3 linked regions of the Diceros bicornis minor genome follow. Each later gene encodes a partner of the first gene's protein in a complex. Links are inferred from orthologs where the notes say so. Each region holds a gene or a part of one and is shown on either strand. Other genes may lie near its edges.

Region 1 (7,799 bases):
ATTTTGTTGAATTTGGGTGGAATTCCAATAGCAAGGTCTAGTTCTACAAACAGCATCAAATTAGTCTTCTAGTAGTAACCTTTGACCTTTAACATACATGCATAACATTAAAAAAAATCTGTCTGTGGCTTGTTCATATTTTATGTTTAAAACCAAGATGACAGTATTGTTAATTTATTCTCCACCTGGTTTTTGAGCACCTAATCTAGGCCGGGTGGTGGGCTAAGTGCCAAGGTACAAAGACTAATACATGGCCCCTGATGGTCACATGGTCTAAACTGAACTGTCCAGTATGACAGCCACTTGCCACATGCGGCTATTGAGCACTTGCAATGTGCTAGTCTGAACCGAGATGTGCTATACATGTAAAACACACGCCGGACTTTGAAGACCCAGTATGCAAAGAAAGACTGTGAAATATCCTATTAATATTTTTATATTGATTATATGTTGAAATGATATACTGGATTAAACAAAATACATTAAAATTAATTTCACCTGTTTCTTTTTAATTTTTTTAATGTGGCTCCTCGAAAATTTACAGTTACATGTGTGGTTCACCTTCTGTTTCCTTTGGACAGTGCTGAAGCCAAGAATTCATATAGAAGAGAATTCTAGACTTGGCTGAGAAGAGATACCGGAATGAAATTCTTTGTACTTGGAACCTTGTAAGATAATTAGCAGATAGCGTGTTTTTTTGCTTCTAGTTCAGAGTCCTAAATGCAGATTCAGAGACTTGAATCTCGTACTCAACCTCCAGTAACTGTCTGTGGGACACTATGTGGCTTACTACAGTCAGAGCCTGTCAGGGATCACACAGCAGGCTGGAGGCCACTGAGACCAAAGCACAGTCACCTGACTCCTGGCATCTGGGCTCTTCCCTTACAACGGGCTGCTTATTTTCGTCCTCTTTGTACCTCAGTTCCTCCGTATGGGTGGCTGTGAGACTCACAGAGGGTCAACCGGCAACAAAAGGATTTTGATTTAAGTCAGAACAACCATACAATATAGCTTACGAACAGGCACAAAGGAAGAGGATGATAAAAACGAAGGGACTGAACGGTCACAAAGTAAACAAGGGATCCCAGGCCCACACCCAGGGGACAGAAGGCAGTCACCAAAAACTGAAACCTGGCCTCGTTTCCTCAGACAATAACAACAAAATCCCCTCAACCTCAAGGACAAATACCTATTGAGCCAGTCCCTCAAGGAGAAGTTATTGGAAATGACAAATGAAGAGCTGAGTAGAAGCTGCCCTGTTTCTGGGAATTTGGGGTTATCTCGAAGGAGATTACAAGGGAGGGCCAGGAAGTGGGGGCGCATATCTTTGAGTTTAGGGATCTTAGCTGTATTCCATCAAAACATCACTTTTGTTAAGCAGTCACTGCATAAAAGGCAGCAGGTGCTAGGGCCATGCGGGGGTAGGGGGCGTGGAAGGGAAGTCACCCAGGTATGTTCCAAGGCAGCACCAGAGGATGCTACAAACACGCTCCAAAGCACCCCGGGAGCTCTAGGGAGGGGAGCCGCGCTCTGGTAGAGGAGTTAGATACAGACTAATGCAGGAAATGGGTTGGAACTGCTCCTTGAAGGACAGATAGTATTTCGATTAGTGAAGATGCAGGAAGATTAAAAAAGAGAGAGAATGATATGAGCGCAAAAAAGAAAAGCCTTTTATCAGTTTTTAAGGAAAGTTGGAGATTTCAAGAGTTTATATGTAACATTAAAAGTTAGATTAAGCTCATTCCCACTTCCCACACTCTATTAAATCATTCTGTTTTATTTTGTTGAAACCAAATATCATCATCAAACATTACCTTGTTAGTTTATTTGTTTCTTTTCATTGCCCTTACCTAGGGTGACCATATCAACCAGTTTGCCCAGGACGGTTCCAGTTTGTGCCTGCTGTGTGGCATAATTTTACTTTTAAAAGTGTCCTGGTTTGAGCAATAAATTATAAGGACGTTCTACATGTAACTCACTAGGAAATTATTAGCATAACTTCAAAAAAATAATTTTTTACTTCTATTTTTTTTACTAATACGAGTATTGTTTTCAATAATCCTTTATTCAAGTAATGACCAATACACTGCTATGCCTTTTTTCCTTTCCTTCATTTCTCAAGATTTAAACTTTAAAGACTCAACCTACACCTTTTAAAGACATCAGATATTCAACTATAAATCATCAACTATATTTACTCAGACAATCAACTATATCAAAAGATAATCAACTATAAAGTGCACAGAAGCAGGCAACATTTCAGAGGAAACTTGCTCCGTGTAAGAAGTTAGAATTGATGACCAATTAAGCATACGTATACTTACTGAGCAATAAATTAAACAACTCTTTGGGGGTTCAAAGGCCTCCAGCAAGTAGCCTTTCATCATAAGGGGAGAATTGCTGCGTTCTGTTGAATGGTTTTTTAAAATATCATAAACAAGGAGAAACTTGGCATGCCAGTCATACTGGAATGTGCTTTAGCCGCACAACTCAGGCATAACTCGTTTTCAAGGATTCAGAGAGCCATAAACCAATGTCATCCTGGCCCCGCCCTAAACTGTCTCCAGGCACACACCTTTTAGATCTCCGTTTCCATCCTGATCGCTGTCCTTGAAAGATCTCGGGTAGATCTGGTACATGGGCCCCGCCTGCCACCAGTCGAGGCACTTTGGGGAGATGGCGATGATGGCTATGGTGGCCCCAATGAGCACGAGCACAGAAGCCACAGTGAGCCAGAAGAGGATCTCCCGGGGCACCCGGTAGCGAGCCTGGCGCGAGAAGTGGAACAGCACCTCCTTGGGCATCCCTGCATAGGGCTGGATGTCCTTCAGGTCGGGCTCTGCGGAGCCCGGGATGCCCACGGCGGTGAGGTGTGGGCTGTCAGCCCTGCTGCCTGGATCTGGGTCTCTCTCTAGAATGTCTTCATTTTGGACAAACCCGTTGTTTGTTTGGCCTCCCTTTATACTCATTCCGATGAAGTCTCTCTTGCTTTTATCCTCAGCCATGTCTCACGGTCTTATCCTTGTGGAGTGCCTTCCTGAAATACAGAGGTGGGAAGGTAGCTGGCTGAAATGCTTGGTCATGTTAATAAGCTTTACGTGGTTTATAAATAAACCTGGCTGGACAAAGTCCAGCCCAGGAAGAAAGGGTAAAGGTAAAGGGGGTTTTAAAAATAATCTGTTTACACTCCTGAGGCTGATATAGCTACAGTCACAACACTGAGGGGGTCAGACCTGGCCTGGAACAGGGGCATAGAGGAAGGGAAATGGGAAGAAGAGGCAGGATTCCACTGCAACTTAAGATGTTACTTGACTGAGTAACCAACGTTCACAGCAACATTATTCACAATAGTCAAAAGGTGGAAACAAGCCAAGTGTCATGAACAGATGAATGGACAAATAAAATGTGATATATGCATACAGTGGAATATTATTCAGCTTTAAAAAGGAAGGATATTCTGACATGCTACAACATGGATGAACCTTGAGGACATTATGCTAAGTGAAATAAGCCAGACACAAAAAGACAGATATTGTATGATTCCACCGATATGAGGCACCTAGACAAATTCATAAAGACAAAGAGTAGAAGGGTAGTTACCAGGGGTGGCGGGGTCGGGGGAGGCGGGTACTGGGGAGTAACTATTTAATGAGTACAGAGTTTACATTTGGGATGATGAAAAAGTTCTGGAGGTGGATAGTGGTGATGGTTGCACAACAATGTAAATATACTTAATGCCACTGAATTGTACGCTTACAAATGGTTAATGTAGTAAATTTTATGTTATGTATATTTTACCACAATAAAAAAAAATAGCTTTAAATTTTTTCTTTTAGCTAGGTGTGAGAAAAAGAAACAAATACTAAATTTTGCAAGGGGAAACAGGCTTTTTTGTATTCTTTGATTTGAAGGTCTCTTCTCTTCCTACAAATCCAGGTTACTGAAGCTAATTTTATTTTATCTCAGTTCAAGCAAACCTTATAAATACCCATTTGTACACTCAATTCACCCCCAGGTGCCTTCAGTCTTGTTTCCTATTTTCAGAAAAGGAAATGGCTGCCCATTCTTGGAAGCACTTTCCAGAGATTGGGGCTGGTGGGGAGAAAGGATTCATGTCTAGCAAGTTCAAGTGCTTTCCTATAGGTAAACAGTTCTTAATACAAGCACTAAAGAGGTGTTTAATCATTGACAAGTGTAAAATACAGCATTTGCAACCCTGAGATAATCTCTTTAAAGTTAAGTGTGCTTTCTTAGAAGATTCTGCAAGCCTGCAAAGAATGTGGTGATTCAGAGTTTTCGTTTAATCAATGGCACTTAAACAGCCCTATGAATCATTTGATCAGATAACAAGAAGTGTTTTTTTCTTTTAAATGAGGAAAGTTATTTGAAATCCTAACATTACTGTTGTTTTGTAGAGTGACTTAGAAGCAATATATGGTACAGAGAAATGAGCTACTTGATTTTGAACAAGTTACTTTTTGCAGAGGGTGGGCGGGTAGGGCGGAATTTTATTTGTTTTATTTCCAGCTGATTCTCCAGCTTCTAGGCCAGTGCCAGGCCCAGAGTATGTGCTTAATAAATATTTGTGGAATTAATGAGTAAGTGAATCCCACCCCCTTTTTTTTTTTGCTGAGGAAGATTTGCCCTAAGTTAACATCTGCTGCCAATCTTCCTCTTTTTTTGCTTGAGGAAGATTAGCCCTGAGCTAACATCTGTGCCAATCTTCCTCTATTTTGTAGGTGAGATGCCACCATAGCATGGCTGGCGAGGTTTGGATCCCACATCTAGGATCCCAACCTGCGAACCTGGGCTGCCCAAGCAAAGTGTGCACAACTTGAACCACTCAGCCACGGGGCGGGCCTCTGCACAAGTTACTTTTAAAAATGAGTAAATCCCAATATGTAGCTCATTGAATGAATCCAATAAGCAGCATCTCTCATTTTTACTAATTATGCATATTGTGCATTCTTTAAAAATCAAAGGAATTTAACTTTTATGTCTTGAAATGCTTTATCTCAAACACATAATGATAATTTTCACAACAGGAGCTAATTCTTGAAATTCACTTACTATTTGGGGAAAAAACAATGTGCAAAAATACCCATGATTTTCAGATAATTTCAAATTATAAGAAATAACTTTTTTTCCTTTCGTGAGAAAGCTTGGCCCTCTTTTTTTGCTGAGGAAGAGTGACCCTGAGCTAACATCTGTGCCCATCTTCCTCTATTTTGTATATGGGACGCCTCCACAGCATGGCTTGATGAGTAGTGTGTGTCCACACCCAGGATCTGAACCTGCGAACCCCGGGCCACCAAAACAGAGTGCACCTAACTTTACCACTGTGCCACTGGGCCAGCCCCAAGAAATAACTTTTAATTATAAATTCTTAAATTCTAAGTGTACAATCGTATAAATGCAAAAAAACTCTACATCATAGCAATATGCCCTCATGACAGAAATGTTCCATTTCAACTTCTCTACATTTTATTTAAAATGACAATAACAACAATACTTTGGAATTCCAGAACACGCAAACTAAAATCTTTTAAAAAACAATCTAGAATAATTATCTTGTCTCTGGTGGGAAGTTTTTGTTTTTGTTTTGTGAGGAAGATCAACCCTTGTGCTAACATCTGCCAATCCTCCTCTTTTTTTTGCTGAGGAAGACTGGCCGTGGGCTAACATCCGTATCCATCTTCCTCCACTTTATATGGGATGCCACCACAGCATGGCTTGCCAAGCGATGCGTCGGTGCACACCCAGGATCCGAACCTGTGAACGCCGAAGTGGAGCGCGCACACTTAACTGCTTGCGCCACCGGGCCGGCTCCTGGTGGGAAGATTTTTTAAACAATAAAAGTAATTACCAAAGAAGATTGCTTTGGGGCTGGCCTGGTGGCGTAGTGGTTAAGTTCACACACTCCGCTTCGGTGGCCCAGGGTTCGCGGGTTCGGATCCTGGGTGCGGACCTAAGCACTGCCTATGCACTGCTTATCAAGCCATGCTGTGGTGGTGTCCCACATATAAAGTGGAGGAAGATGGACCCAGATGTTAGCTCAGGGCCAATCTTCCTCACCAAAAAAAAAAGAAAGAAAAGAAGAAGAAGAAGATTGAATAAAATTTTTGAATTTATTATATTGCAAAACACACTAACTGAACATCATATGACAAATTGTGAAATATATTGGTAACAAATATGCCAAAGAACTTATGTTTTTAATGTCAAAAGTATGTATATTTTGTTAGACATTATGTATATATATATGAAATTTCATAGCAATTTAAAAATATAATTTCAATAGAAAACTTGAAAAAAGAATATAGATAGACATTTCACACAAATCAACTCACTAATATCAGAGAAATAAATAGGCTTTTTATTTTTAATTACACTGGCAAAGAACTTCTAAAAGATAATAGTGCTGGCAAGGGTCCAGCGTAAATTGACATAATAATTCTAGAAAGTAATGTGGCAATGTATATCATGAATTTTAACATTTTCAGAGTAATAATTGAGGCTAGTCTTGCCAGATTTTAAAATAAAACTCCAGAAAAATAAAGAGTTGATACTAAAGAAAGGACAGGTCAAAAGATCAGTTGAACAGATTGAAGTCACCAAACTAGACCCCTATACAGAAGTGAATTTAGAATAAGAAAAGGCAACATTTCACATCAGTGAGGAAAAGAAAGATTATTTAGTAACTGACGTCGGATAATTGGATAACTAGTGGGAAAAGAAAATAAAGCTATATAGCTTACCTTATTCCTGACATCAAAATAAGTTCTATGTGGATCAGATTCAAAAGTGAAAAATAAAACTGTAAAAAACACTAGACGGAAATTTGTGTATTTTAAAAAATAATCTTGGATTTGGAAAGCCTCTCTAAATATAATACAAAATACAAAACCTAGACACCACAATGGAAAAAAACTGATAAATTTTATTCCAAAAATTGAAAGCAAACAGAACAATCCACAAGGATAAAAGGCAAATGGCAAACTAGAAGAAAATATTTTAACACATATGACAAACTAATTTCCATAATATAGAAATTAATTATACAAATTAACACCAGAAAATAAAAAAACAGACAAAAGATGTAAACAGTTGACAGGAAAAAAATACAAGTGCTTAATAAACATAAAATGTAAATTTCACTAAAAATTAAAGAAATAAGAAACAAAAATAAAAAGGATATACTATGTTTAAACTACCATTATGGCAAAAATGAGAAAGTTTGATAATATCCAGCATCAAAAAATATATAGGGAGCCAGCAGACTCATACATTCATGGCCGGAGTTTGAACTAGTGCAATCTTTGTATAGAAAAATTGGGGAGTATATATCAAAACTATAAATTGCATAACCTTTGACTCAGAAATTACACTGCTAAAAATTTATCTTGGTGATGTAACCAACAAGATATATATACAAGGACAAACACTGCAACAAAATTGGAAACAATCTAAATAACCATCAATACAGAATCATTTAAATAAATTATGACATATTCAGACAATGGAATACCACATAGCTCCTACAAAGAATGAGTTTATCTATCTGGGCTGACAGACAAAAAATGTTTAAAATATAGTGTGAAGTGGAAGAAATATTTTAGAACAGTATGTGTAATATAATCAGAATTGTGGGGGAAAAAGTGGCACTCACATTCGTGCATGCATATTGAACCTTCAGCTAGTGGTTGGCTGGAGACTGGGAATAAGAGAATGAAGACAATAATCCTTGGAATTTGACTTTTCGCTTTACTCTGACTGAGTTATTTGCCCTCAGCATATAT
Region 2 (7,881 bases), on another chromosome or scaffold:
CTACCCTGTGGCTGGAGAAGTGGGGTTCTTTGGTTGGTAGCCCACCAGAATCCCACAGGAGGGCCAGTTCCCCGCAGAGGTGGATGTGGGCAAATAGAAATAAGATTACTAAAAATGGTAGCTCTTTATTAAAGAGCATTCAAGACCTGTGATTACTCAGAACCCTCCTTCCCTGACCCTGCCAGCTAATATACCTTTTCATCACGCGAGAACACTGAGGTTGAAAGGTGCAATGGTGACAAGGTGTGGGATTAGGGAGCAGGACGGGGAGTCACATTTTAGAAAATAATTAGATGAAACTCTGAAATGGAGTACTGGTTTCCCCAAGAGGATTATCCACAAAAAATTCCGTTACTTGGAAAACATAAAAATGATGAACACACCAAAAGCAAAGGCAACAAAAGCAAAAATAAACAAATGGGACTAGATCAGACTAAAAAGCTTCTGCACAGCAAAGGAAACCATCAACAAAGAGAAAAGGCAACCTACAAAATGGGAGAAAATATTTGCAAATCATATGTCTGATAAGGGGTTAATATCTAAAATACATAAAGAACTCATACGACTCAATAGCAAAAAACAATCCAATTAAAAAATTAGCAGATGGGCCGGCCCTGTGGCTTAGTGGTTGAGTGTGCACGCTCCGCTGCTGGCGGCCCAGGTTCGCATCCCGGGCGCGCACCGACGCACAGCTTCTCCAGCCATGCTGAGGCCACATCACACATACAGCAACTAGAAGGATGTGCAACTATGACATACAACTATCTACTGGGGCTTTGGGGGAAAAATAAATAAATAAATAAAATTATAAAAAAAAAAAATTAGCAGAGGATCTGAATAGACATTTTTCCAAAGAAGACACAGATGGCCAATAGGTACAGGAAAAGATGTTCAAATCAAGCGTTTGTGAGTATGTGGAGAAAAGGAAGCCCTGGTGCACTGTTGGTGGGAATGTAAACTGGTGCAGCCACTATGGAAAACAGAATGGAGGACCCTCAAAAAACTGAAAATAGAACTACCATATGATCCAGCTATCCCACTTCCAGGAATATATCTGAAGAAAAAAAAAAACACTACGTTAAAGAGATATCTTCCCCTCCATGTTCATTGCGGCATTATTTACAATAGCCAAGACATGGAAACAACCCAAGTGTTCATCTATGGATGAATGGATAAAGATGTGAGATGTATATATATATATATATATATATATATATATATGCACACACACACACGATGGAATATTATTCAGCCATAAAAAAGAAGGAAATCTTGCCATTTGCAACAATATGGATGGACTTTGAGGGCATTATGCTAAGTGAAATAAGTCAGACAAAGACAAATACTGTATGATCTCATGTATATGTGGAATCTGAAAAACCAAAAAACAAACAAACTGAACTCATAGATACAGAGAATAGATTGGTAGCTGCCAGAGGTGGAGGTGGGGGGTGGACAAAATGGGTGAAGGGGGTCAAAAGGTATAAACTTCCAATAATAATACTGTATTGTATATTTGAAAGTTGCTAAGACAGTAAATCTTAAAATTTCTCATCACAAGAAACAAAAAATTTGTAGCTATATGTGGTGACGGATGTTAAATAGGTTTATCGTGGTGATCATTTAGTAATATACACAAATATCGAATCCTTATGTTGTATACCCAGAACCAGTGCTGTATGTCAGTTATATCTCAATGAAAAAAGATGATGGACAAAGTTCTAAGGTAGAATTGCACTATCCCAATAGTTCTTGGATATATGTAGATACAGATTGTTTCCCAGATAAGATCTTAAATTGTGCTTTCCTTGCTAATTGTTTTATGGTTCGACTGTAAATCCTCGACACTTGAAGACTCTGCACATTCCACTGACTCTTCATGGGTTCTTCTGGCTGGAATTCAGGTAGGTAAGTAAACACCTGTTATATGGGATCCCCCCGAAGCCTTGAACCACGGTCGGCAGCAGTGGGAAGGAGTATAGGACCGAGTGAACTTAGGAAGAACAGAGGAAGGTTGGAAAACTCGAAGGCAGGTCTGGAGCAAATTTAAGTGGTAAAGGAAGATTCAGCATCTGTCTGGATGGTAGACTTTGCCTCTGTCGTGGAGGAAGGTGAATCAGAGGACAAGACACCAAGGGCTATGGAGAAACGGACTTCACCCCAGGCTCAGCGTGTCTTTAGAAAACATCACAGGAGAGGGAAGCAAATATGTACCAAATATAAGACGATAAAATAACATGCAGATGGTGTTACTATCTTCAAACTGCGAGCATCTGCAATTGGAAAAAGCACAGTGTGAAAGTGAAGGTCAAAGCTTTAGCAGAAACTTCAGGAATAATGGAGTTGTATGGAAAAATAATATGAAACTTCCTAGGAAATGAGCTGTAAGAGGGAATCGACTGCATGTGGTAAAACTTCAAAAAAACCTTAATTAGTTGATAACTCTCTCTGCTGGGGCAAAACAAAAAGAAGAAACAACAGCTCTTTTTTTTTTAATTAATTAATTTATTTTTTATTGCAGTAACATTGGTTTATAACATTGTATAAATTTCAGGTGTACATCATTATACTTCTATTTCTGCATAGATTACATCATGTTCACCACCCAAATACTAATTACAACCCATCACCACACACCTGTGCCTAATCATCCCTTTCACCCTCCTCCCTCCCCGCTTCCCCTCTGGTAACAATCCAATCTCTGTCTCTATGTGTTTGTTTGCTGTTGTTTTTATCTTCTACTTATGAGGGAAATCATACGGTATTTGACCTTCTCCCTCTGACTTATTTCACTTTGCATGATACCCTCAGTGTCTATCCATGTTGTCACAAATGGCTGGATTTCATCGTTTCTTATGGCTGAGTAGTATTCCATTGTGTATATATACCACATCTTCTTTAACCATTCGTCCCTTGATGGGCACTTAGGTTGCTTCCAAGTCTTGGCTATTGTGAATAACGCTGCAATGAACACAGGGGTGCGTGTATCTTTACGCATTGGTGTTTTCAAGTTCTTTGGATAAATACCCAGCAGTGGAATAGCTGGATCATATGGTGGTTCTATCCTTGATTTTTTGAGGAATCTCCATACTGTTTTCCATAGTGGCTGCACCAGTTTGCACCTCCACCAGCAGTGTATGAGAGTTCCCTTCTCTCCACATCCTCTCCAACACTTGTTGTTTCCTGTCTTGTTAAATATAGCCATTCTGACAGGCGTGAGGTGATATCTCATTGTAGTTTTGATTTGCATTTCCCTGATAGTTAATGATGATGAACATCTTTTCACATCCCTGTTGGCCATCTGTATATCTTCTCTGGAGAAATGTCTGCTCAGGTCTTTTGCCCATTTTTTTAATTGGGCTGTTAGTTTTTTTTTTGTTGAGATGTATGAGTTCTTTATATATTTTGGAGATTAACCCCTTATCAGATATATGGTTTGAAAATATCTTCTCCCTATTGTTAGGTTGTCTTTTCGTTTTGTTGATGGTTTCCTTAGAAACAATAGCTTTAAGAAAAGAAATGTTCACCATGGACCGAGTATTCACTGAGGTAGATTTCTGACCCTCAACAAAGGATCCTCACACCCAGATGTTCCCAAATCGGCACTTGGCAGAGGCCCAGGAAGACCAGGGAGCCTCTGCATCAACAGAAGGCTGAAGTTTAATGCGCAGCCTTCCGCAATCCCTCAGTTCCACGGGGGCGGCCAGTACGAGCCCCTCCTACAGATCTAGAACGTGATGTTTAGAGAGAAGATAAGTGACCCCAAAGCCATGTGGCTGGTGGCCGGCCCTCCTACCCTCTACCCCCTGCCCTCTTCAGGGGGTTTCTGTTAAAATATCCACCCTCTGGGGGCAACCTTGATGCAGGGAGTATTCTGGAGTGCTTTGTAAATATGGATGGGCCAGATGCTAGTTGAGTGCTGCTGTGTTAGCAAATACTTCTAGGAGTGACTCAAACGAGCCTGGGGCAGGTTCTCCTGGGGCAGCAGGTGCTGCCCTGCCCTCTGACTCCACGATCTGGGCAGATGAGCACTCTGCCCGGGGCTGGGGCTTGGCGGGCAGGGGAGCAGGCATGGCCCCACTAAGGGGGCAGCCAACAAACTTCTAAATCAGGACCCTGACTCTGGGACAGCAGGGGTCCCCACATCCTCCAGATGGCTTTAAGAGACGACCCCGAGAAAGCTGCCCTTCTCTCAAGTCCGCCTGCCCCAAAGTGCTCCCAAAGTGACCCCCAGTGACCCACCCAGCTCTGTCCTGTGACCTTTGGTCTCCTCTGGAGATCTGGGATGCTGTTCAATTTACCCCAGTGCAAAACTGCCGGCGATAAGAGCAACAATGCTTCAGGCTGGGCTCTTCCGCCCAGAGGAAGGCCTTATCTGAGATAAGGGATTAGAGCTGCCACCTGAGCCGCCTTTGTGGGGAGGGGCAGGTCTGCCCCCAGCCCCTCTGAGTGCAGCTGGAGCCCCTCTGCTGCCTCTCTGAGAAGGCCAGATCTCTGTGGCCTTGACGGACTTTGTTCCCTCTGGGGCCTCAGTTTCCCCATTGGGTGTGTGAGAGTGGAACTGATGACAATTTGTGCCCCTTTTCCACTCTACAGTTGGGCCAACGTGAGCCTGGGCTACTGAACAGCAGCACCACCAAACTGAAGGAGCGCCTGGCCCGAGCCGCACGCACAGACGGGGCAGGCCCTGCCGGAGGCCTCACTGCTGTGTCTGAATTCTGCCAAGCTCTCCTGCCGTTCCAGCTGGTGCCCAAACCCTGTCACTGCCGAAGTGAGTGGAAAAGACTCGCGCACCGTCCTGCTGGCCTGCTCAGCACCAGGTGGAAGGCAGACGGGCACTCGGGGAGGAAAACGTCTGGGCTGACCCGTGGTTACCTGCGCGGCGTGGCTGCTGGCGCTGCCTCACTGGAGCTGTAAGTAGAGCCCATTAAGGTCATAAAGAGTGAGTTCCAAAGTTTATCTCCGCTGGTTCCAGTCTTTGGAGAGATTTCTCCTTACATGATGCAGCTGATTTGGGGGAATCTGGTTAAGGAAAAAAATTAATCTAGACACGAACAAAATGAAAAATATTTTTGGAGGAAACAGGTTTGCCCGCCCCTCCCCTTTTTGTGTGATGTATCCAAGCTTCATTGCTAAAAAAAGGTGTTTAATAATTACCTTTGTTGACCTCTGTACCTTCTGGCTTCCTCTGCTCCTGGGCACAAGACATGGCCATTCCCAGGGCGCGACAGTGCAGACGCAGGCGGTCGGCCGCCACGGGCAGCTCCCCGGCTCTGCGAGGTCAGGAAGAAGGTAAGGGTGATGGGTGGGCTCCCCGCTCGCCTGGCCAGGGCCTGGAGGGGACTTTATTAGAGAAAGGGGACAGGAAATGACCATCAGCTAGTTCAGACTTGAGCTTATTTTCCGCAGCAACTTTTTTCATTCCTTGCATCAGTCAATGGAAAAACATCTACACTGGGGGTCTATTACGCATGAGGTGCCCTAATCTTGGGAGTAATCATGAGAAACTCTGTGGACTGTGGAGGCAGAATGATTTTGAAGCGTGTCACTGCTGAGAATTAGGAGACAGCACAGGCGGTGAGCCTGGAGGCTTGGGGCTCTGACTGGGAAGTCTGGAGACGAGCACAGAGCCTCCTTTGCAGTCAGAGGCCTGAACAGCAGTCAGGGTGAATTGTTATTCCTGGGATGGAGCAGATTATCCCTAAGGGATCGACAAGTGTACTTTCCTGAAACAGTAGCTAACAACCTGCTTTGGGAGTCAGTTCCACGACGCAGATGCGTTAGCTGAGCAGAGCCCTCGCTGACCTGCAATTGTGTCTTGTCTGCCAGAGCATTTGCCGAATCAAGGCCCGCGCCCTCCTAGAACCGGCAGGAGGGAAAAATGGAGGAGACCAGCCTGAGAAAAAGGAGAGAGGATGAGAAGTCTGTCCAGAGTAATGAACCCAAGAGCACAACTCTCCAGAAGGAGGTAAGGCTGTCCTCCGCGCGGGCCCTGCCCAGGGCAAGCAGGGTGTGTTAATGTTAATGAGCAGCGGCAGGCAGAGAAGTCCCAATGGTCTCTGATTTGTAAAGTACGTTTCTAACTGAACAATTCTTTGGACTTACCTCTTTCCCTCTCACCAGCAAACTCAACATTTTTTTTTTTGTGAGGAAGATCAGCCCTGAGCTAACATCCATGCTAATCTTCCTCTTTTTGCTGAGGAAGACCGGCTCTGAGCTAACATCTATTGCCAATCCTCCTCCTTTTTTTTTCCCCCAAAGCCCCAGTAGATAGTTGTATGTCATAGTTGCACATCCTTCTAGTTGCTGTATGTGGGACGCGGCCTCAGCATGGCTGGAGAAGCAGTGCGTCGGTGCGCACCCGGGATCCAAACCCGGGCCCCCAGCAGCAGAGCGCGCACACTTAACCACTAAGCCACTGTGCCGGCCCAAACTCAACATTTTCTTGTGACGTTAATACATGTGTGCTTCTGTGTGCTGGGCAAGCGTCCGGAGGGGTCCAGTAGCTGCTCAGGGATGGTCAGAGAGGACCTTCTGATGTGCGAGTCTCCTCTATAGCATCTTCTTCACCAAATGTCCGTTCCTCTCATGTTTGAATACCTCCAGTGATGGGAAGCTCCACTTAGGTCTCAGCGAGTCTAGCTGGGGTGGCGTGTCTGACGCGGGTGTGACATAGGTGACCCCTCTGAGTTGGAATGCAGTAAGGGCTGGACTTGGAGGTGCCTGCGGCCTAGAGGGGCCAGAGCGTGTGGTAGGTGGGCTGGCACTGGGCCTGCAAGGAGCGGGAGCTGTGGAGGGCGGGGAGTGGAGGCAGAAGGTGCTTGATGCTCCACAGGGTGGAGAGCGAGTCCCAGGGGATGGCGGCAGCAGGGGGTGGGCGTGGAGGGACAAGCTCCAGGCTCCTAAAATGCGGAGCGAGGGCCCCAGAGCAAGATTAGGAGGGCAGGACGGGTGGGCTGAGCTGTGGGCAGAGCCTCCGGGAGCTCCGTGCCTGGCAGCAGAGGGGATGGAGGAAGGATCTGGGGGTTGACAAAAGGCAGTGGCATGGCTTGACTGTGGGTTGGCCTAGGATCTTGGGTCCCCAGGAGTCAGCTCATGGGCAGCAACACTCTCCCTTTTGGCCATGAAAGGAGCACGGCTGAGCTAACCCTAGACAGCCAGCTTCGGGGTGAGTGCAGACCTCAGCAGGAGGAAGGATTCTGGAGGGCCCCGGGGTGTCGGTGGGCCAACCCGGGCGTCAGAGGAGGAAAGCTGAGACTGCCTGGGAGCTCCCCCTCCCTGAGGCCAGACTGAAGCGGAGGCTGCTCCTGGCACCACTCCTCCAATCGTGTGTGTCCCCTGGCGACCCGATTCCTTGTTCTCTGGGCTCCAACCCTGACCGCAGCCTCTGCCCAGACAGGCGAGCGCCTGCACGTTCACCTCGGGCTCCAGAAAGCAGGCCAGTGGCTTCCGAGGGCTGACGTTACACGGAGGGGCCTGAATCAGGCATTTTCTTCCTTTAAAGAAGTTTTTTTCCCTTGATTCGTGTCTAATTTACATGCAGTGAAATGTGCAGATCTTTAGTTCCCTCAGGAGGGCCCCCAACCCTGAGTGTCTCTCCCCGTGGACTAGTTTTGCCTACTACAAGTAAAGCCCCAGAAGCGGGCCCTGGTGTCATCCCTGCAATGGCCCGGGGCAAATCCCCCGGCACACGGGCCTGCCTGGGGCCGCGCCGGCCGCGGGAGGGAGAGGGCTGATGGGGCCATCCGAGCGGGAGCCGGGCGGCAGCATGAACTCTCCTCTTCCTTCCTCTCTGTCCCAGGTGGGCCTGATCAGCGGCATCTGCATCATCGTGGGCACCATCATCGGCTCGGGGATCTTCATTTCCCCCAAGTCTGTGCT
Region 3 (8,004 bases), on another chromosome or scaffold:
GTGCTTTCCGTATTTCTGCTGCTAGACTTGACTCTCTCTCTCTTTTTTTTTTTTTTGTGAGGGAGATCAGCCCTGAGCTAACATCCATGCTAATCCTCCTCTTTTTGCTGAGGAAGACCGGCTCTGAGCTAACATCTATACCAATCCTCCTCCTTTTTTTCCCCCCAAAGCCCCAGTAGATAGTTGTATGTCATAGTTGCACATCCTTCTAGTTGCTGTATGTGGGACGCCGCCTCATCATGGTGGGACAAGTGGTGCGTTGGTGCGTGCCCGGGATCCGAACACCGGGCTGCCAGTAGCAGAGCGCGTGCGCTTAACCGCTAAGCCACGGGGCCGGCCCCTACTCTTTAATATAAGCTCAAAATTAAAGATTGCTTGACCTTTTAAACTTTTAACTTTACATAAATAAATAAATAATCCAGACATGAACCAATCTAGCATAATTCTCTTAAGGTATGCAAAAAGATCCACTGTACATTAGAAACACCCAGGAGAATGGCAGAAGGGGACGGAGGGTGTCTTCCCTCTGGTTCTGTGCAGCCATACCTGAGGACATGATCTCCTTTGGAGTCAGGACTGCCAGGTAGGAAATGTTAACCAGTAGGTAGGTCAAGGCTACAAGGGTAAGTGCAGTAATCAGACATTTGGGGATATTCTCACCGGGGTTTTTCAGCTCTCCTGCAAAAAAAAAAAAAAAAAAAAAACCCATAACATAAAAAAATGACTAATTCTATAACATTTGAAAGTGGTTTCAATATAACATATAATAAGAAAAAGAAATGACTCTGCAAATGGAAGGAGCTCATTTTTGTTGAATATTATTTACCATGTCCCAGGTGAATTACTGATTCTAGTAGCAATAGATTTGTGTTAAATTCTGAGGTTTCAATGCTGTCTCCCTGAGATACTCGACATGAGCCTCTTGGATGAGAAGAGAACAGCTCAGAAACCCTGAACTGTAGTCCAGGAGAACTGGAGGGAACCTTCCCCTATCTTGTGGCCAACTTGGTAGAATTGTAACTACGCGTTAATGAAGGATTGGAATAGCTGATCTGTTAATCTGGTCACAATATTCTAGGAGTTAGTGTAGACTCCTTGCTCTTTTCACTCTTTGGATTAAGTCTCTAGATTAGATAAAACTGGGATTAAACTTGAGTATATATTGCCAACACCAAGATTAACACAAGTGTTTAACTATTTGGAAAATATAAAGTTATGTTATTACCTCACACTATACAACTCCCTTAAAAGAATTCATATGTATGAAAGAGTAAAATGTAAAAGTAAGACCACAAAGATTTAGAGAAAGAAGCACAGATATATATTATCTAAATCTTGAGATGGGGAAAGACTTTTGAAGTATGAAAACAAGGCAAAATTAAAATATTCATAGTTTGATACTATAAGTATTAAAATTATAGTCTTAAAAATCTTATGAAAAAAATAAGAAGCAAAGAACAAACTGGGGAAAATATTTGCCTGTATTCTTACAAGAAAGAAATATAAATGGTCATGAATAATTGCAAAACTCTTTCCTCCCATTAGTAATCGAAGAAAAAGTGAGTTACAACACTGAGATTTGATTTCCACAAATCTAATAACAAAAGAATACAAAAAGTATAATAATGCCAAGTGTAGTCATTTTAATTCACACTAAAAGAACTATTTGTAGAGCCTTTCTGGAAGGCAATTTCTCAGCACATTTCTAAATACTTATATGCTTCACTTAGTAATATCATTTCAAGATTTTTTTCTAATAAAGCAATGAGAAATCCACAAAGATTTATGTAGAAGGATGCTGATTGCAACAATAAGTATAAAACGTAAAAGTGAAAAACTGGCAACAGCTCTGGATCCAACAAAGGGAAAACATTTAAGTAATAGTCAAATTTCATATGATAGAACACTGTGTATTCATCAAAAACCATTTATATTTAATAATAATTGTAAATTCTCTCTATGTACTTTAAGTAAAATAAAGTTATTAGAGTATAAGTACAGTGATCCTTGCATGTGTGTACATGCAAGTAATCTTTATTTTAATTTATATTTTCTGTATTTAAATATTTTCTCTGATAAGAATCAGTTATAATTAGGAAATATAGACTATTAAAATATTTGCTCAATAAAAAAGTGCAATTGCTATGGGGTCTTTAAGCTGCTTCTGTTTTGTGTTCCCCTGTTTTAATTGTAAATGCCTGGAAAATATTTCACTTTCCAAAGTTGGAAAGCCACATTTGTAGAGGGTTTAATGTGTTTCCACGCACCTGATAAAATAAGACAGAAACACATCATATCAAAACGATGTAGTATTTCTTTCTTAGAATTAAGGTGCTTGAATGTTAATGTGTTTTTAGCCTAGTGGTAGATTTTATAATTTAAAAATTAATTTTACCTGCTATTCGAACGAGGACTCCCCAGCCTGAGTATGCATATAATCCTTGTAAGAAGGCTTCTGCAATCTGGGAGGCTCCTGGAACTTCGGCATCGAAAGCGTTCTCAAACCTGGCGAGGTTCTCTTTCCTTCCTCTCACCAGCAGCACGATTCCGGTTATGGAGATGAAGCAGAGAACTGTCATTTTCACCACCGTACTGACAGTCTGAAACCAAGCCACTTCTTTCACTCCTCGAGCATTCAGAATTCCCAAACACCATAAAATGGCCAACGCCAAACATTTCTTTGGCATCTCAGGAACGAAACATCCAGGATAGAAGGGCTGCATGATATACCCTGCTAGTAACAAGCCACGTGCAGCAATGCCTGCCGGCGCACTAAATAGAGTGACCCAGATGTAGAAGAAAGCAATAAAGGGTCCAAGGGATCTCTTGAGGAAACAGTACTGGGCTCCACTTCTAGGGAGGGTGGTCCCCAGCTCTGCGTGACTCAGGGCAGCCATCATAGACACTATGGCGCAAGCAGCCCAAATGCTTAGGGAGACCCCCACGTTGAGCGAGGAGTATTTTAATACCCCTTTAGGGGCAATAAATATCCCTGCACCTATTATGACACTGAATAAGAAAATTGTTCCGTGGAAATATCCTATTACCCTTTGAAGCTGTGTACTCTCCCTTTTCTTCATTTTCTTAAATCTGAAAGTTTGCTTTAAAAGCTGACACTAATTCACAGTTTTTACCCTGTTGTCTTTCTGAAAGGCTTCAGCCGGGCTTCTTATAGTCAAGCACTTTGCTCTCCTCCTCCTCTCTTAGCCAAATGTATTTTGTTACAGCACCTAACATAGTAAAAAAAAATTAACCTGTGAGTTAATTGAACTAAAGTTTCTGAGATCTTGATATTAGAGTTAAAATGTTTTACACGTTAAGCTTTTAAAAAGTTGTGCACAACAAGTTAGACACAGCTAATTGGGAGTGAGAGAAAAAAAATTCCAATTCAAGATTCTTCTATGGATATGTAAGCTCATTCATTTTGACCATTAAAGAAGTAATTTTTTAAGTTTGTACCATAAAGAAGTTTGTAGAATGACAAAGAGTGCAAGGTTGGAACCACATGTGCCATTTGTGAGCAGATCTTGGTTTGAATCACACACATCTGCCACTTACTAGCAAATCTATGTACTTAACTTACTGATTTTCAATTGTGTTCTTTTAAAAATGGTACTGATAGGGGCCAGCCCGGTGGCGCAAGCGGTTAAGTGCGCGCGCTCCGCTGCGGGGGCCCGGGGTTTGCTGGTTCGGATCCCGGGCGCGCACCGACGCGCTGCTTGCTTGTCAGGCCATGCTGTGGCGACCTCCCATATAAAGTGGAGGAAGATGGGCACGGATGTTAGCCCAGGGCTGTCTTCCTCAGCAAAAAAAAGAGGAGGATTGGCAGATGTTAGCACAGGGCTGATCTCCTCATAAAAAAAAAAAAAAAAAATGGTACTGATAATCCCCATCTTGTTCCCTACCTTATTTTTTTCTTCAGTAGGATTAAATGAGGTAATTTATCTATAGAGCAAATACTAATAAAAAGCTCCTAGTAGTGTGCCTAATGTATATTAGGGATCCATTATTGTTAGTTTCATAATCTGGTTATTTTAGTTCTCACTATCTACATTATATACAGAGTGCTTCAGTGTCTCTAGGGTTCTTTGAAAACATTTTGCAGTTAGTTGCAAACTAGACGGACTTCTCAACAAGCAGATCCCTTGGTACACATATTTAGAGTTTTACATTTCCCCTGTCAACATTCTTATAGGGGCATGATTCATCTTTTCGACGTGATTTATTTTTTCTATATTTCCAGCTACTTACTGCTGAGGGCACACTCTTTTGAGCATCTGCTTTTTGCCAGGTATTGTGCTAATCAACGCATGTACAGGATGACTAAGACATGGTCTGGGTCTCGTCCACCATTGTAACCCTGCTCCTTGGTCCAGCTCAGGGTATGCAGTATGTCTCAGTAAATCTGTTGAATTACTGACTCTTATCCTCCAGAGGCTCCTGTCTAGGGAAGACGTATATAAACCAAGACTTTTTATGTACTGGCTTTGAGCTTCAACAGGGTAATACTAATAATAGCCAACATTTACATGACACCTACTATGTGCTGAGAACCATGTTTAACACTTACATTAACTCGTTAAGTCAAATCAGCCACCTCATGATATAGTAGAGATAGATGAGGAAATTAAGGGATAAAAAATTAAATAATTTGCTGGGGTCACCCAGCTATTCACTTGAATTAATTAATTAAATAATTAAGTAAACAATAGATTAATTGAAATTAAATTTTATATATTTTTACATACATATTTATATAGATTTATGATTTTAGTTATAAATAAATAATTCTGTAAAGCCACAAAAAGCCAAACACAATTCAATGACAATATAAACCATGAAAGTTGTGTCAGTGCAGGCAGGTATTTCAACCAGGTAACTAGACTCTAATTCATTTCTTGGCTGTGAGAACAGTATTCTGAAGATCTCTAGACATATTACTACAGTTACAAGCAAAACTCCTTGGGAATAGTCTATAGTTCTTTTTCTGGCATAAAAACATGCATAGACCAATGGAACAGAATTGAAAGCCCAGAAATAAACCCATGCGTATACTGTCAACTGGTATTTGACAAAGGAGCCAAGAACACTCAATGGGAAAAAATAGTCTCTTCAATAAACGGTGTTGGGAAAACTGGATATTCACAGGCAAAAGAAAGACATTGGACCCCTATCTTACAACACTCACAAAAATTCACTCAGAATGGATAAAGACTTAAACATAAGATCTGATGCTGTAAAACTCCTAGAAGAAAATACAGAAAAGAAGCTCCTTGACATTGATCTTACCAATGATTTTTTGGATATCACACCAAAAGTGCAAGCAATGGAAGCAAAAAAATAAACAAGTGGGACTACATCAACCTAAAAAACTCTGCACAGCAAAAGAAGCAATCAACAAAATGAAAATGCAACCAATGGAAAGGGAGAAAATATTTTCAAACCATCCATCTGATGGTTTTCAAACCCCCTATCTGATAAGGGGTTAATATCCAAAATATATAAGGAACTCACACAACTCAAGAGCAAAAAACCAAACAATCCAATTAAAAAATGGGCAGAGGACTTGAATAGACATTTTCCCAAGGAAGATATACAAATGGCTGACAGGCACATGAAAAGATATTCATTGCCTTTTGTAGCTGTTTACTCGATACTCTCCCTTTGTCTCTATATTTTTAATTCCTAAGATAGTAATTTGTAATTGCTGTTTATGTTTGACCATGCTTCTGAATACCTTATAGAAACTCCTTGATTGCATTAGATGTTGTGTTAGGTATATGAAAATAAAAATAATAAACTAGATTTGGGGAATATTTGACATATTGGAGTCGTATGATCTCTGTTCAGGCTGACTTGTGTAACCTTAGACATTTCCCTTTGTTTTCTCTGCATCAATTTCCTTCATTTATAAGTTAATGGAATGGGATTGCATCTATACCTCTCAAACTGAAATACTCATTGCTGAAATAAGTGTATGCCAGGGAATAGGTGAAGCCATGGCATAAATGTTATTCATCTTCCTGAGGTGTCAATTTCACTCGAAGTACTTTTGGAAAATTTTTGAGGAATTTATTTAAGGACTCAAAATTTATTTTGAAGTGTTTATTTTAAACATGCATATATTATGGAATTAAGATTTTTTCTTGGATAAAAAACTAATCTTCAAATATGTAGCCACTCCACTGAGATGGGGTGGATACCCCACTCCCGCTATTCAAAATTTGGTTCAGATGTCAAGACTGATGATGACATGTATGCACGAAGAGAGTATGGAAGTGCTTATTAGTCTCATAATGAGACTTCTTGTGGGGACAGGGCAGGGTCCCAAGCAGGTCCAAAAATGTCCTGAGACGGCAGGCAGGAGTTACTAGCTTGGGGTTCTATGGTGGTTAGGGGGTAGGGCTGGGATGCGAGTTACCATTTGAATGAGATGCAGCTTGTGTAATTCCAAGTTCCTGTTCGTGCCGATGGAGGGAACACCAGCCTTTCTTATCAGCTTGCCCAGATGTTGGGCAGAAAGTGAAAGGGAGTCATGAGGCTTAAAAGCTGTCAGCAAACATCAAAATGGAGTCAGACTCTATTAAAATGGATTTTTAAATTTTGCATTATTAGAGTGCTTCTTTGAGCTGTATCTCCAGAACACTGCCTCCAAGTTTTGGTATACTAAACCAATGTCCTCTCTGCCGTCCACTCAATTGTTCTACAAATATTCATGAACTGCTAAAATGTACGTTGTTTTAGGTGCTCTAGATACATCAGTGTACAAAATAATAATGGCACAGTGGACCTTAAATTCTTTTGGCATTGTTTAACATCCATAGCTTGAGGGTGGGGAAGATGATCAGGAAACTTTTATCCTCATTCAGAATCAGTTCACACAGAAAGACTATACACCATTCTACAGAGTGGCCGTGTCTGTGAACTTTGTGCCAGTGCCTCTATCCCGTCTGTGAGAAAGAAGGTCGCACAGCTGGTCACACAAAAGATAACAAAGTAAATTCTTTTATTACTGTCACTCCGTAATTCAGATGAGGAATTTATACTGGATTTTAGGAGAGCATGTGTTTTGAGGCCCTTATTTTAGTCTGGTCTAGTGGTCTATGTTCCTTCTTACAGCATGGAACGCTAGAACAAATTTTAGAGTTGCACAGACTCTGCCTGTCTCCTTTCTCTAAATGATCTTGTTTTCACAATAAAAGTTACATGTGAAGCACTATGGCTGGAAATGAGGGTGGGGGATGAAGTGTGGTCCCTTTTTATATTTTCTCTTTGTTGTTTATACCAAAGCCAGATAGAGTGACGGAAAAAAAAAATAGAGAGTAGAGGAGTGTGGAAAGGATACGTGTAGGTTAGAAGGAGAACCTGAAAGCATATTATCCAGGTCTTTTGGATTCAGGTGATGTACGTGCTGCTCTCAAGGACTGGAAACTTTTGGGAGATAGAGAAAGCAATGAGCTTGGGCTGAAGGTTCCTATGTGCCCTCATCCTGTCAGGGAATAGATTTGTACAGAAAATCTGTGTAAAACAGTACTACTAGCAGGAGGAGAGGATGCTGATCCTTGAACCATTTGAACAGCTCAATGGAGCAGAAAGAGACTCTGGACTATAAATTAACACCCAAACTAAGGAACTCAGGAAGGTAATTAATATATTACATCAAGGCTTCTGATTTCTGATGTGGCATGTAGACAGCTTAGAAGTGTTCACTTCGTCCTAACAACAGCTTTTTAAGGCTGAACAAACAGGAGAATCAACAACTCTTGGATCTGTCAGAACGCTGACGTCAGAGGGAAAGCTGTTGCCCCCAAACAGGAGAGACAAACAGGCAGATACAGAGAATCACAACTTACCTGAGCAGAAATTCACAAGCAGTCATCTGCAAGGACCATACCAGGATACGAAAGCCAAAACGTAGTTGATGAATCGCTAGAGGCTCTATGTGGACAAGTCTGAGAGATAAAACTCCAGGGGGACCCAGTTACACGGGGGCCCACACACTTT

What was found.
Region 2: the proteins of SLC3A1 (region 1) and SLC7A9 are in contact, whole or in part, in a cryo-EM structure (PDB 6LID), measured with the Homo sapiens proteins. The link is inferred for Diceros bicornis minor from reciprocal best matches to the Homo sapiens genes SLC3A1 and SLC7A9. Residues at the interface, in NP_000332.2 of Homo sapiens: Pro64, Tyr65, Ala66, Gly67, Met68, Pro69, Lys70, Leu73, Phe74, Phe76, Ser77, Tyr82, Pro85, Arg86, Phe90, Thr93, Val97, Leu100, Ile101, Ala103, Thr104, Ile107, Ile108, Ser111, Cys114, His201, Asp202, Thr373, Glu374, Pro375; in NP_001119807.1 of Homo sapiens: Cys137, Phe140, Tyr141, Val142, Gly143, Cys144, Pro147, Ile149, Val150, Cys153, Leu154, Ala156, Ala157, Leu160, Phe161, Thr164, Leu168, Thr279, Thr281, Asp295, Arg296, Tyr299, Tyr343, Val346, Arg347, Lys467, Thr470, Met471, His472, Gln474.
Region 3: the proteins of SLC3A1 (region 1) and solute carrier family 7 member 13-like are in contact, whole or in part, in a cryo-EM structure (PDB 8WK6), measured with the Homo sapiens proteins. The link is inferred for Diceros bicornis minor from reciprocal best matches to the Homo sapiens genes SLC3A1 and SLC7A13. Residues at the interface, in NP_000332.2 of Homo sapiens: Pro64, Tyr65, Ala66, Gly67, Met68, Pro69, Lys70, Leu73, Phe76, Ser77, Arg81, Tyr82, Pro85, Arg86, Leu89, Phe90, Thr93, Ser96, Val97, Leu100, Ile101, Thr104, Ile107, Ile108, Ser111, Cys114, Leu115, Glu194, Asn195, Asp202; in NP_620172.2 of Homo sapiens: Ile120, Phe123, Phe124, Pro125, Ser126, Cys127, Leu132, Pro133, Cys136, Leu137, Leu139, Ala140, Met141, Trp143, Ile147, Arg151, Lys187, Thr265, Arg267, Asp281, Arg282, Glu450, Cys454, Tyr455, Gln457, Leu458, Leu459, Phe460, Asn461, Ile462.

Annotation. Positions count from the first base shown.
Region 1 is NC_080751.1:40,748,113-40,755,911, forward strand, and holds the start of SLC3A1 (neutral and basic amino acid transport protein rBAT), read right to left. Parts: upstream 3,023-7,799; 5' UTR 3,006-3,022; coding exon 2,576-3,005; intron 1-2,575. UniProt on the Homo sapiens protein: Acts as a chaperone that facilitates biogenesis and trafficking of functional transporter heteromers to the plasma membrane.
Region 2 is NC_080773.1:6,570,768-6,578,648, reverse strand, and holds the start of SLC7A9 (B(0,+)-type amino acid transporter 1), read left to right. Parts: upstream 1-4,873; 5' UTR 4,874-4,913; intron 4,914-5,210; exon of another isoform or gene 5,211-5,292; intron 5,293-5,829; 5' UTR 5,830-5,881; coding exon 5,882-5,968; intron 5,969-7,801; coding exon 7,802-7,881. UniProt on the Homo sapiens protein: Associates with SLC3A1 to form a functional transporter complex that mediates the electrogenic exchange between cationic amino acids and neutral amino acids, with a stoichiometry of 1:1.
Region 3 is NC_080772.1:35,165,841-35,173,844, reverse strand, and holds the start of solute carrier family 7 member 13-like, read right to left. Parts: upstream 3,081-8,004; coding exon 2,396-3,080; intron 679-2,395; coding exon 547-678; intron 1-546. UniProt on the Homo sapiens protein: Associates with SLC3A1/rBAT to form a functional heterodimeric complex that transports anionic and neutral amino acids across the apical plasma membrane of renal epithelium.